Caenorhabditis elegans: one gene and its partner. The protein of the gene in region 1 purifies or fractionates together with the protein of each later gene. This does not show direct contact. Each region holds a gene or a part of one and is shown in the gene's direction. Other genes may lie near its edges.

Region 1 (4,067 bases):
AAATTGTTGCTTCGAAAGACTGGCTAGCCAGCTGTCTCAAAAGTTTGGAAGTTTTATAACAATTTTTTCTGATATTTTTGGTCTTATGAACATGTAAAGATAAATTTTCTTTAAAAGATAATTTTTACGTCGAATTAGAAAAAAAATCGAGAAAAAATCGCAATGTTCTAGAAGTCTTTTCCGGTTAATGACGTCATAAAGTTTAAAGCTTAATATTTGAATGGGCGCCTTTTTTATATTGGCTGCATAGCTACTCACCTACACATCAATATATAATTGATACGGAGTCATTAAAAAGTTAAATGTTTTCAACTTTCATTTGGAATTTGAAAGATCATTCAAGTTGGTATTTAAAAATTAGAAAAAGTCAAACCTGCAGAAGAACTTGGGGTCCCCAGTTTTCCTGTATCATAAACCGAACACCTTCAATGACCAATCCGTACATTTTGCGGGTTGATTTCTGCTAGAAGATGTTTGAAAATGCTGACTAAAATCTGAATAAGGTGTTTCCACTACCAACATCTTCCAACTTCCGTGCCAGTTTCCGTTAGCTGTACACTGTTGCCCCCTATTTTAATAATCTCATCTTCGATTCGTAATATCCATTAGCTCACCTCTCCCCCTTTCCCTTGAAATACAAATGTCTGCGTCTCTCCCCGCTCGTTGCTCTTTAGGTCTCCCACCTTTTCCTCTATGTAAGGCAATGGTCAAGAGACCGCACAACACAGTGGTTCATGTGTGTATCCCTTACCCCTCCACAGAGACACAGCATAGACGGAGAGAGTCTAGGAGACCGAGGAGAGCAGTATACTTGTCAAGGCTAATTCTCATGCGTTAGGGCCGTGCCCCATTGGCGCAGTCGGTTAGCGCGTGGTACTTATAGTCTATAGGTTATGCCAAGGTCGCCAGTTCGAGCCTGGCATGGGGCAGATTATTTTTGTTTTATTTGAGGTGTCTAAAGTAGTTTAAACGACATTTGTAGCCCCTATTTCGTGTTTTGTAGTGAAATGTAGTCTGTTTGATTTGTGGGAGTTGGAATCGATCTTCTACGAACCTGTGATAAGAATAGTGATAACCTAAACATTGACGTACATGCATCTTTATGATAAACATGTCATATGACAAGTTAAGCAGGTCAAAGTTAATAGCTCGATGTATTCTAGTTAGTATAACAGCTAACACACCAGAGCCAAACTAGCAAAATCTGTTTGAATGTTTGTTTTTAAATTAAATATCAAACATTAATTAAAACAAAATTGATAGACTGGTATGTACTTTAATCCAGATCGTCAATGCCATGCAATCTCGCATTATGGTCGCGTGTGACGTCACATTATCTTAAAACACGGATGTTTTTTTCGGGAACCGAAAAAACGAGCTGATAATTGTAAGGAAACTATTTTCAGTTTAAAATTGTACTGCTGGAAAGTTGATATGACCAGGATAGTACGAAAATACACCTATTAAAATGTTCGAAGAATTATTGGAACAGTCTATTACTAGGGATTATATTTAAAGGCATAACACTATGAGAGCACAAAATATAATATTCTTTAATCACCTCTACAACTCGTTAACCCTGCAAATTTTCGCTTTCAAAGTCCAAGTTTAAGCAAATAATTTGAATTCTCCCGCAAACATGCACGTGTCTAATCAGGCCTTTCACTTCGAAATGAAACCGGAGCTAGTAGCGAAATGCCTAATTCTTATCAGCAATATTCGAGAAAACGCCAAACTTCAAAAGTTATCAGTCGCTTGAAACGAAAAAACTATAAAACCCCTGGTAAGCGCTTGATAAATTGGTCGACTGTCGAATTTCCCAATTCTCCAGCCAATCGAAAAATGGTAAGGCTTAATTTTCCTGAAGTTTAACTTCAGTTTCAAAAACTTTTCAATTTCAGAAAACTGCAATTGCTGCTCTTCTTGTCGGCCTTGTCGCCGTCAACGCCTACAATGTTGAGGTTAAGCACGGAGATGCCATTCCAGTTGAAGCTCAAATGCTTCGTGGACAGGAACTTGTTGATTACGTCAACAAGGTTCAGACTTCCTTCAAGGCTGAGCTCGGATCATACTTCAGCTCTTACCCAGATACCATTAAGAAGCAATTGATGGGAGCTAAGATGGTCGAGATCCCAGAAGAGTACAGAGTTAGTAAATTTGAATATTTTAAAGATTTTGAAAAACGCTTCCCAAAAAATACAGATTTCTTTCAAACTAATTTATCCTAATGAAATTGTTTCCAGGTTTTCGAGATGACTCATCCAGAAGTCGAGGATGCTGCTGTTCCAGACTCATTCGATTCCCGTACCGCATGGCCAAACTGCCCATCCATCTCCAAGATCCGTGATCAATCATCCTGTGGATCGTGCTGGGCTGTCTCTGCTGCTGAAACTATTTCTGATCGTATTTGCATTGCGTCAAATGCCAAAACTATCCTTTCCATCTCTGCTGACGATATCAATGCTTGCTGTGGAATGGTCTGTGGAAATGGATGCAATGGTGGATATCCAATTGAAGCCTGGCGTCACTATGTTAAGAAGGGATACGTTACCGGAGGATCTTATCAAGATAAGACTGGATGCAAGCCATACCCATATCCACCATGTGAACATCACGTCAATGGAACTCATTACAAGCCATGCCCATCCAACATGTACCCAACTGACAAATGCGAACGCTCTTGCCAAGCTGGATATGCTCTCACCTACCAACAAGATCTTCACTTCGGACAATCTGCATACGCCGTCTCAAAGAAGGCTGCTGAAATCCAAAAGGAAATCATGACTCATGGTCCAGTTGAGGTTGCATTCACTGTCTACGAAGATTTTGAGCATTACTCCGGAGGAGTCTACGTTCATACCGCTGGAGCCAGTCTTGGAGGACATGCCGTAAAGATGCTCGGATGGGGAGTTGATAATGGAACACCATATTGGCTCTGTGCCAACTCATGGAATGAGGATTGGGGAGAGAACGGATATTTCCGTATCATTCGTGGAGTTAACGAGTGCGGAATTGAGGGAGGAGTCGTCGGAGGAATTCCAAAATTGTAAATCTCGAAACATTGTGTTTGTGATTGCAACTTCAATGCCTATTGTACAATATGTATTCGATTTATAAATATTTGAATTATTCTTATATTTTCTGTTAACATTTGCATACAAACTTGAATTACATATTTTTTTGTCAAGATTAATTCGAATTCTGTTTCTTTTGTTCCAAAATTCAAATTGTTTGAAAAGGGTTATTATAATATAATGCACAGAACTTGTACTCCCAAAAAATTGTATGAAAAATATATGTTCATTGAACAGATAGTAAACGAACAAAACAAAACAAAGTAATGACATAAAAAATAAAAAGGGATAATGAAAATACAGAATATGCAATAAGTAGATACTGCATCATAAGAACAAAATCAGTTGGAAGACTTGTTAAATCAGATACTCCCAATGGCCAATGATTTGTTGATAACATTAAAATCTTTGACATTCGATTATGAGTTTCTGATTTTATCATATCAATATCATTTCCAAAAAGACTTCGATCCATTACTTGACTTATTTCCACTGATTCTATTGCTGCTGAAATAATGTGATTTTTTTAAATTTTAAACTTTTCAAACTAAAACTCACTTTTCATAAAAACTGAATATTTTGGGAATATAAAATTTGGCACAATAATGACAAGCAGCAGAATGGCAACACATTTAGACAATGCCTTTGATGGATTGAGAATAGCTGTCAGACATATAAAACCGACGATCAGAGCAAATATGGGAAATATGACATGAGCGAGCATTTCAATTTTGACGCCATTCATTTGTATGTAATTCCAAAGAAGTACGTTTTTGGAAACATCAGTCACCAGGAGAATACCGGCTAAAAAAATCTGAAAAAATACACTTTTTAGGTATTAATTTATATATTTTTTGTTTTTAAAGGATTAAAGGACGATCCGTTCTTCAAGTGCTATGAACTCTGGGATACAGGTACACTGCCTGGTGGTAGACTCAAAAATGCCACAAAGGCTATGCCTATTTGCGTTCCTTCAATGCTGGCTTCAACATT
Region 2 (4,216 bases), on another chromosome or scaffold:
TATTACATATTAAAATTTTCGAGCTAAAAATATTTAAATTATGTCTATAGAAAGGTAACTTCATTTTAATTATAATAGAAACATTATCTGTCAAAAATGCAAAACTATTATGCAAAACTATTGTTAACGCCAAGAGTCGAAACTCCTATTAGATTACGGTCAGTGAGTTCAAATGAGGCTTCAAATGGTAACGTGAGAATTCGAAAGTTTCAAAATTAGTGAAATCAAAAGTATGAAGATAACTTCCGGGTATACTGTTTAAATTTTCAAAGAGGCTTAATGGTTACTGTAGACTCCCAGTGTAGCTAGAAGTTGTTTGATTTTTAAAACACTGTTGCAGCTGGCCTCACTGATGTCGATGGATACATCTTCCCTTGCCTAAAATCGACTTGCGCATCTGCTGCTAACCAAGTTAAGGCGTCTCTTGATGCAGTTAAGGCTGCTGGAACTAAGATCTCCACTCTATGGCTTGATATTGAACGTCTCAATTGGCCAGCTGATCATGCTAGCAACCGTGCATTCATTGAAGCAATGGTCAGTGAAGCAAAGGCTTATGGACAACAAGTTGGAATCTACAGTAACTATTACAATTGGCAAGATATTGTTGGATTGGATTATCATGGACAATCTAGTTTGATGCTTTGGTGGCCTGCATACGATGGAGTCAAGGATTTCTCAAAGTACGCTCCATTCGGAGGATGGTCGAAGCCAACAATTCATCAGTGGTCTGACACCACTACTGGTCCGTGTGGAGTCTCTGTTGATATGAACTACATTCCATAAATAATTTTTTAGCGCTTTAATAATAAAGTGTATATTTCAGTAAACAACATTCGTTCATTATTATGATTTATTCATTCCTTTAATAACGTTTGAGAATTGCTCCGAGCAATTCAAAGTAATCTGAAAAGCATCGAAAATTACTTGAAATTTAATAAGGAAATTCAGTTTTCGATGACTAATTTTTATTTTGAAACTACTAGAAAGTCTATTCCAACTTTTATAATAATTTCTGCAATAATTATTGAGGAATTCCTTAAGGAATGATACAGTACGCAAATGAGGCATGTACGTTATTATCAATTTTTGTGGAGTATTTCGTCAATTGATCACATTTTGATGCCATCGTCGGTAGCAGAAATCACGTGCAATCAAATAATGATAGACGAAGCAAAAAGGTTGATAATGTAGTCTAATGTGCGAAGTTCAAATTGCTAATCGAAAAATAAAACACATTGGGGAGTTGGGTTTTCAGAAAACTCGGTATATTTGAAATCATCTGAAAATCGGCTAATGACTTTTAATACAATTCCCGGTATTTTTTAGGAAGATGTACCGTCAAAGAGAATAAGTCATGAGCTCAAAAGCTTTCTAGGTCACAGCCGACCTGTGATCTGAAGCAGGGAACAAATCAAGAACATAATCACGTTTTCAAGCATCTAACTTTAAGCACCTTATGTTTTCTCAGCTTTTCACGCTTCCAAACAGATTAATTAAGTTATTTTCAATAAACTGTATAAACTTCAAAAAATTTACAGATAAACAATGAATTTCACAATGTTTGGATTGAAAAATTGATAATTTCTTTAGTGTTAATTTAGGCAACGCCAACAAACCACGCACAAGCCTGCTGCCGGGACCATTAGCTTGTAGAAATAATACAGTACTCGGGAGGGTCGAAGGTTTCAATTTTAGTTCTTTTGATCTCATTGTTGCAAATATTGAAAAACGACGAGAGATAACGGTCGAGAAACCCCGAGAAATATTTTCGAAAATGAGACGAAAGTGTAGTTGCTCTCCATATTTTGTTTCATATTTTACATCAGCCTCTGAATAAAACAAAAAAGATAAGAGAAGAGGGTTTATGAAGTTTTTGATTTTATCTTTCCGCTTGCGTCAAAGTCATAAAATTAGAATCTCCGGTATTTGGGAAGTATAAAAGAAGTGTGTGAAGGCTTAATCAGGGGAGTTCAGAGAATCATGAAGTTCTTCGTCTCGGCTTTGCTTTTGATCGGTGCTGCAAGTGCAGCTAGAAATGGAATTGATTTCATTCAACCAGTGTCTACTGCTACATTTCAATGTATTCATAAGGCTGGATATTCTTTCGTAATTCCAAGAGTCTTTACTTCTGTTGGAACTCTTGATCATACTGGAATTCAAAACGTCAAGAATGCTAGAGCAGGTGAGCATTTCAGATGGGTATCAAGGAATGGTTTTTACCATTTTCAAAATAATTTCCATTCTTGGCAATTTGGTTCTCCTTTCCCTCGCGATTCTTCGCCTCACACTTCTAACTTATAGGTCTGTGCATACTTCCTAGTATAAGTTATGAGTATTAAATTTGTAAGAAAATACTTAAACTAACAAAATCTTATCTCTTTTTCTTATTTCTTTTTGTTTGTTTAAAAACTGCCATCAAATAATTCAAATACACATATTCCCAAAAGTCAAGATGTAGTGGTCAATGAAATATCTTTTCGTTACGTTTTACAACCATTCATTGTCCCCTCTGACTGTCTAGTTTACCAGGGCATGCATTGTCACATGATTGTAAACAGAGTATGGAAAAATAATAATATTCAAATATATTTGTCAATAGGTTGAATATAGAATTCAAAATTTAAACTAATCTTGCTCTTTAATATGTTTTACAAGTATACATACAATGCATCTAGTGAGTGAAACAATATATTACCTCTTGAAACTAAAAAATGAAAAAAAAAATTACAGTTTCTTTCTAAGTATTATTGTCCAGAATAGCAGAAAATTCCAATTTAGGTGATGGTTCGACTGAAAATGTAATATGAATGTTCAAACTTGTAGGGACTACCACAATTATGCTTTTCTAAAAAATTAAACATTTTGGAAAAACTTCCAAAAGAAAAGTTTTAGGTGAAAATTTTTTCAACCATAACTAATCATATGATCCTTTTGAGCTGAATATTGAGACCGTAAGGGGGCCCTTATGATCACTTTAAGTTGGAATAATCAGATCATAAGGATGAGCTTTATAGTATTCCAAGTCAATTATAAGCATTGTACGGGTTCGAACATTCAAACTGATAATATTCCAATTTATTAAAACATCTGAAGTTTTCTACAAGTTTCATTCAGTACCAAGCTAATTACAAATTTTGCAGCTGGCCTCACCGATGTCGATGGATACATCTTCCCATGCTTGAGATCTAACTGCCCATCTGCTGCCAATCAAGTTAAGGAAACTCTTGATGCTTTGAAGAGTGCAGGAACTCATGTCTCTACTCTCTGGCTTGACATTGAACGTCTCGCTTGGCCAGCTAATCACGCCAGTAACCGTGCATTCATCGAGGCAATGGTCAGAGAAGCTCAAGCTTACAAGCAACAAGTTGGAATCTACAGTAACTATTACAATTGGCAAGATATTGTTGGATTGGATTATCATGGACAATCTAGTTTGATGCTCTGGTGGGCAACCTATGATGGAATTAAGGATTTCTCAAAGTTCGCACCTTTCGGAGGATGGAGCAGACCAACAATTCATCAATGGGAAGGAACCACTACTGGCCCATGTGGAGTCTCTGTTGATATGAACTATGTTCCATAAATAGCTGACCAAAATGTATAAACATGAATAAACAAATTTTTATATGTAAACCCATACATTTTCGCTAGTTTCAGACGCGCAATTGATTTCTTGATTTTTTGAAACAATTTAAAACTGTAAAACTGACAACAAATGGGTCAGTTTTAGAACATTCGAAAATTATGTTTTATTTTCAATAATTTTTTGTTACTTATTTAAAAAATTTATCATTATTGTTCGGAGACTTTAATTATATTCTCATTCAGAATTGTTTTCTATTTTTTTAAATCTAGACCTGTGAGTTTCAAGTGAGTTTCGGCCAAAATAGTAACATCAAAATGGCTTTACATTTCAAAAAGCAGATACGGTAAAACTTAAATTTTTGTTCTCTTTTCTTTCAAAACTATTATGTTGTTGATCTTCTAGACACGTTGTCAAGTCAAAATGCGTAGTGATGACGTCACTTGGGGTAACCTTGAATTACACAATTGACCTCAATCGAATCAAAATTAAAGTTGACGAGTACAAATATTTAGTCTTGTTTTTTTGTTTCTCCATCTCATTATCAACATTTCAACATGCAACTTCTTGCGATTTCTTTCTTATTTATAACTTTTATTATTGAATCGGTGAGATTTTTTGAACCACTGTAAT

The links.
Region 2: the proteins of cpr-9 (region 1) and lys-4 fractionate together in Caenorhabditis elegans (co-fractionation; one large-scale study listed by BioGRID). This does not show direct contact.

Annotation. Positions count from the first base shown.
Region 1 is NC_003283.11:12,001,332-12,005,398, forward strand, and holds cpr-9 (Peptidase C1A papain C-terminal domain-containing protein), read left to right. Parts: upstream 1-1,721; 5' UTR 1,722-1,842; coding exon 1,843-1,845; intron 1,846-1,901; coding exon 1,902-2,147; intron 2,148-2,243; coding exon 2,244-3,050; 3' UTR 3,051-3,253; downstream 3,254-4,067. Other genes in the region: gcy-33 (guanylate cyclase), read right to left, coding at 374-445; F57F5.3 (ABC transmembrane type-1 domain-containing protein), read right to left, coding at 3,301-3,581, 3,633-3,888.
Region 2 is NC_003282.8:11,620,863-11,625,078, reverse strand, and holds lys-4 (LYSozyme), read left to right. Parts: upstream 1-1,904; 5' UTR 1,905-1,980; coding exon 1,981-2,182; intron 2,183-2,773; exon of another isoform or gene 2,774-2,794; intron 2,795-3,140; coding exon 3,141-3,583; 3' UTR 3,584-3,650; downstream 3,651-4,216. Other genes in the region: lys-5 (Lysozyme-like protein 5), read left to right, coding at 341-783; dsl-5 (Delta-like protein), read left to right, coding at 4,141-4,191.